2 linked regions of the Daphnia pulex genome follow. The protein of the gene in region 1 purifies or fractionates together with the protein of each later gene. This does not show direct contact. Links are inferred from orthologs where the notes say so. Each region holds a gene or a part of one and is shown on either strand. Other genes may lie near its edges. The genes, in order: E3 ubiquitin-protein ligase NEDD4-like and lipopolysaccharide-induced tumor necrosis factor-alpha factor homolog.

Region 1 (3,006 bases):
ATTTGAACATTGCCCTTCTTAATCGTCATATCCTGGAGAGACTGATTACGAATAGATCGACTATAATTGTTGGTACATCAGACGATTTCCTAAATCTGAATAAAAATAAAATTATTATTTTGTAGGAACTTTAAGTCATTATGCACTCTAAAACAATTTACCTGCAATTCATAATAGAACACATGGTGCAAAGAGCCACAAAATGAAGGAACAACAGACATTTGATTATTCATCACGATCATGGTGGCTATTATTCCGCATTGCTGGGTTTGAATGAATCAGCGAAATTAAAAACGTTTAAACAGTTTTTAAAAAAAGAGAAAAAAAAAATCCACAACTCGTCGTTTATGCACGGACAGTAATGCAATCCGCCACCATATGGTTTTACACCATATGCATTTTATAAACGGGCAAAAAAACATTTTATGATGTCGAATCCAACACCCGTTCCGGTAATTATCTAGTTCTACATCAAAGCACTTTTTTTAATCAACAAATTTGGGAGGAGTCGAAAGAAAATGGAGCGAGTGCCATTACGTATTGAGTAAATAGCTCTCATGTATTGAATTTGGGAAGGTTTTTGTTTTCACTGACACACAAAGGAGGAAAGGGATGTTATTGCTGCAAAAAAATAAATGGTAAAACTTTTTTTTGGGCAAAAAAAAAAAAAAATCGTTGGATTTAAAGAGACAAATAATTTTTTTTTCGTTGACCGGGAAAGAAGTTATTTTAAAAAAAAAGAAAAAAAAATTAATAATTAAAGAAGAGGGTATAGACTGTATAATAATATGTATCACACTGTGTAGAATAGTCGCGACAAACGAGAAAAAATTGTAACACAAAACACGCAGGCAATTGTCGGGATTAAATCGACGCGACGGGGAAAAGAATAGATGATGTTATGGTGTTGGTTAATAATATTGCAACGATTTTACCGAATATGGGTCGAATGGGAAGTAGAAAAACGCAATGAAATTGCTTCCACCTTCATCTACACTTTCCTCAAGTGATGCAAGAAATGGCAAAAGTCGAACCCCCCGAAATCAAACTCCATCAGCACCCTGTTCATGACAAATGATCCAGGCCATGTCGGAGTAACAAATGTTTTCCATAGTTTAAAAGTAAGAGTTAAAGAGAAAGATAGAGAGAAATATACCAACTGTACACTACCCAAGGAAGGGGAGAAAAAGGGAAGGTAAATAAAGAGAGTACACGGCGTCTCCATAGGCATCGTGAACAAAGAGGATCGTTTTCGAGGCATAAGACAGAAATCGATTATACGACACGCACCGTTGGTGGAATGAATGATCTTACACAACTTACAGTGGTAGGGAAAGAGAATAAGAATGATAAGAAAGAAGAGAAATCTCTACAGGAAAAACACACGCAAACAAGAAATCTTTTTTTTTTAAAGATTATCGGCACGTTTAATCTACGCCGGCGAAGCCCTCAGATCCTTCGATGGCTTTGATCAGTTTATCTCTTAGCTGTTGGTAACTCTCGTAAGGTGGCAAGTCCAAACGATTGAAACTATTGACAACAGGAAAACAGAATCCATCGTCAAAAATCTTGCACGGTCTTTCGTTTCGCAAAGGAATGAAAAATGCAACTTACCAAGTGTGAGCACGGGGGAAGTTATTTGGCGTGCCCCATTTCTCGATGGTAAACGGCTGTGGGCCATTGCTGCCGTACAGCTCTTTGAATCCATTCATGGGAACACGTGATGTCCCCGTAACAAACTGCAAGACTCGAGAACGCATTTCGGGATTGAACGATAAAACCACCTAAAAAAAGGAGAAATATTCGAATTGAGGTTTCGACGATGTCGATAAAACAACTTCAAGAAAAGACGAGACTTACCCTCCAAAACCATTGCACTACCATGTGGTTGGCATTGTAATCCCCCTTGTAATTGGTGTGTTCTCTCCAATCTTTGACATCAATGGTACCAATACCACACATCAATAATTCGAGCTCATTTTCATCGAAGATCTTGAGCATCGACAAAGGAATCAAGTCCTTGAAACCGTCGAGGAAGGCACGCATCTGAGCTTCAACGCGGGACACGAACCTCCATTGGATCACCAAACTAGAGAGCAAAACATTGGTAGATCATCGCTGGAACAAATAATTTAACTTAAATAAACTTACTTGATGTATTCATGTTTATTGTCATTGGTGACAGGAATGTTGGTCCCGTTAGGCTTCAGCTCGCGCTGGATTGTTTTGCCAAAGCTTTCTTCGTCGACAGCAAAATTTAAATCCAACTCGCTTGGATCGTTCTCTTTGATCCAAACAAGAGAGTTGAAGTACTCAGTATCGACAGACTCCATATCTTTCAGTTCGATGGGCTTTTCCAACATCATTTTATAAAATGGGCGAATGAAAAAGCCGTCAAGCAATTTGCCGTGATAAACTGCCATGCCAGCAACTCGACCGATGAATTTGAAATAAGACAGATGGTCTTCGGTACACAATCCAGACATTGGGTTGATTTGCAGCGTGTAATTGTCCCTGTAGGCAAAAGTAAATGAATAAGTTGAAGTTGCAAGCAATTTAAATTGGAGACTTACATAGCAGAATATTCAAACAGGCCGTAGTATGGGTTGAACATTTCTTTAGAGAGAAGAAAGAACCATTCACGAGCAACACCGCCGTAATCGAGTCCGACTTCACCGTCAAATTCTACCCAAAGTTTCGTCTTGAGCAGCTCCGGTCGGGCGACAGTGTTGATAATTCGATACGAATCTTCCAGTATAGAGGCTCGATGAACTTTAATTTCAAACTTGTTTGGAATGTTGGCCTGTAACAAGCGGAAAAAACAAAAAAACAATTAAACCTAAGAACGCAATCAACAATAGATTGTAGGCATTTAATATATTACTGGTTTCTTAAGTTGCGACTTGAAGAAGTCGTACTTCCTTTTATAGTCACGTGAGTAAGGAACAGCCGGTCCAGCAATATTAGGGTTCGACATACGGGGGTCTTCCCATTGGGTAATTCGTG
Region 2 (2,728 bases), on another chromosome or scaffold:
TTGGTTTGCATTTGTATTCAGATGCACTAAGTACTGTAACCCCTAAAGTTAAAGAGCTAGCAGATGGTTTGGACATCTATCGCCATCAGATTCGTCTAATTGATATCAATGAATTTAAAAAAGAAGAAACAGATGAATTGATCAAAGTTTTTAAGAACAGCACAACTCTATCCGATAACATTCAGGTGGAAAAGTTTGATGAGTTTATTAAAGCCGCAAGCGTAATTTCTGATCTAAACGGAACTACTGCTATGCAAATTGGAATCATGGAGGAGTATGTCTGCGTTATTTAAAAAAAAAACTCTTTGTCTAGGTCGAAATAAATTATTTTCTGTTTTAGATGCCAGAATATGATGTCGCAATCGATTACTCGGCTTGGCCAAGAACTAACACTGAGAGATACAAAAACGGACTTTAGAAAATTAAGCGATTTGGATGTATAAAAGTTACGTTTTGTTTATATTGTAAGATTATTTCTGTCATGATAATTAAATACTTTGATAGAAATCCAACCATTTCCTGTCATTTGTTTCTTACTGCGCTTCTATTAATGGGTAGGTTAATCCCCAAAACCATGTTGTTTGTATCTATGAAATAGCGGGAAACATTTAATAAGCATCGTTTTGGTTCTTTTTTAACTTTTTTCCATAGGAATAACATTTTCTATATATTTAACGAGCAGCATAAAAATAATTAATAAACTACGGCACTGCAAGATTCAAATTAATTTAAAAAAATTCAGTTAAGAAAAGGAATATAGGTTTTTTGTCCCAGTCGAACAAAACGTTTTTCAATGAATTTAAAATTTAAATTACAAACGACAATTTTAATATATTCGAAGTTTATTCATTGATAAATTTTGGTGATAAAATTAACACGGCGTATCTTTGATTTTAATAAGTAAGCGGAGTAGATATTGAAGCAAGGTACGAATAATACAACGTTCAGCATTTCTATTGTTTGAAATTTTGAAATTGAAAAGCTTCGTGTAATTAGGAAAAAGGTAAATTTTGGCATACAAGATGCAACAACCAAATTTGCCAAAAATGAATATGAAATTTAACACACAGAAAGAACCAATTGCCTCTTCATAGTAAGAACATTAGCTTAAAAGTGGCTGTATCTCCCCAAGTATGCTTTGCAATTTGGACAAGCATGATGAACATTCATGCACTCAGGAATACAGCAGGGGATAAGGCAACAGCCCAACCAACATCTGGTAATAAAAATATATGTGTTATATCAATGTGTAACTCTTAAGAAATTGCTGACTGTGTAATACCCAAATAGAACTAAAAGACCTCCAGAAAGCCAGGCAATCAGACCAGGTTCAGTACGCACAGAAGTGTCAATTTCAGCATGGCAATGTGGACAGACCTGTAAAGAAAGAAGATAGAGAAAATAAAATATATAATTAACTGTGGAGGGAAAAACTAACAGTGTGTGTTGTTCCGGGTCCAACAGGTATCACGGTTGTCACAATAATAGGCTGCTGGTTGGTTACATCTATTAAAAGAGATAAACATTGTGATTTTGAATGTGAGGCACATTTCCCATTAAAAGTTAAAATACTAAAAAAATGCTTTACTTTGATGAGGAGTAAAGGGGCTTGATGGATTAACACCACCCACTGCTTCCATGTAAGAAGGAGGGGCAGCTGGAGGAGGACCTTGTTTACTCATCTGTGAAATAGTTTATGGAGAATCCAATGAATTATTGGTAAATTGGTAATCAGAATATCAGACCAACATTAACTTCAATGTTTTGTATTCTGAATCATGAAAGAGTTTAAATTTTATTTGTTATTACCTTAGAAAGTCATGCAGTACAAGTAAGTTATTCACAAACGTTTACACTCTGTGCTCTAGTTAACACTACACAGCTGTTCTTAAGCTCCGCCCCATGACTTTTCAGAATGTAATCAGCAGGAATTGGACAGCGGAAAAGCTGATGTAATTGAAAGTCTTCCAATGTTTCAGAATGTTATAATTGAAAACCATTGATAAATCAAGGGGAAAAAAAATTTCCTTGAAGTACCTCAGCAGATAAGACCGTCTTCTTTATCTATGGTTAAAAGTACAATCAAGTTTCAGTGACTTGCAGATGTGGCCGAAATAATACGAGTCACGCTCGTCACTTGTTTCATTTGTTTACATCTTCAGTGAAGATAAAATCTCAACAGCCAATCGGGGCATACTTGAAAAAATTCATTTCCGTGTCGTCTGCGTGCTAAACATTCTAAACGTGTTATCCGGGACATGGGGTTACCGATATAATTTCTGGCGGCATTTCGAATTTTTTTTTAGTGCAAACAACTAAATTTACATTGAAGTAAAGAAAAATGAAATGTCTTTTGGATGCAACCAGTGTTAAGGGTACGACATGATGTTTCATTTGATTGTACTAAAGCAGTTGAAAGCTAAAACACTTTCTTTTATTCTTTAGTTTTGGCGCGAGCCATACACTCATTGGCTAAGATAGGTGATGAATTGCACATTTCACCAATGGAAAATGGATTAACTCTGAAGACCGTCAATGCTTCCAAATCTGCCTATTCAGCTTTCAATTTTCACCTACCTTTTTTTCTTGACTACACGCACATAAGTGAAAATACTGTTCACGCTGATCCAGAAGAAGATACTGTGATTAAATGTAAACTTCCCATGAAGGTCTGACAAATAACTTTAATGTGAAGTATTGTGTGTTTACAATGATGTTTTGTTTCCAG

What was found.
Region 2: the proteins of E3 ubiquitin-protein ligase NEDD4-like (region 1) and lipopolysaccharide-induced tumor necrosis factor-alpha factor homolog purify together in Homo sapiens (affinity purification with western blotting; 3 studies listed by BioGRID and IntAct, counting the BioPlex papers as one, with this or other methods). This does not show direct contact. The link is inferred for Daphnia pulex from reciprocal best matches to the Homo sapiens genes NEDD4L and LITAF.

Annotation. Positions count from the first base shown.
Region 1 is NC_060022.1:1,845,565-1,848,570, reverse strand, and holds the end of E3 ubiquitin-protein ligase NEDD4-like, read right to left. Parts: coding exon 2,885-3,006; intron 2,804-2,884; coding exon 2,574-2,803; intron 2,515-2,573; coding exon 2,152-2,514; intron 2,090-2,151; coding exon 1,861-2,089; intron 1,785-1,860; coding exon 1,615-1,784; intron 1,531-1,614; coding exon 1,428-1,530; 3' UTR 773-1,427; downstream 1-772. UniProt on the Homo sapiens protein: E3 ubiquitin-protein ligase that mediates the polyubiquitination of lysine and cysteine residues on target proteins and is thereby implicated in the regulation of various signaling pathways including autophagy, innate immunity or DNA repair.
Region 2 is NC_060026.1:14,698,410-14,701,137, forward strand, and holds lipopolysaccharide-induced tumor necrosis factor-alpha factor homolog, read right to left. Parts: upstream 1,958-2,728; 5' UTR 1,810-1,957; intron 1,683-1,809; coding exon 1,589-1,682; intron 1,507-1,588; coding exon 1,439-1,506; intron 1,378-1,438; coding exon 1,283-1,377; intron 1,217-1,282; coding exon 1,108-1,216; 3' UTR 825-1,107; downstream 1-824. Other genes in the region: uncharacterized protein LOC124203995, read left to right, coding at 22-274, 341-443; cell cycle checkpoint control protein RAD9A-like, read left to right, coding at 2,342-2,375, 2,446-2,669.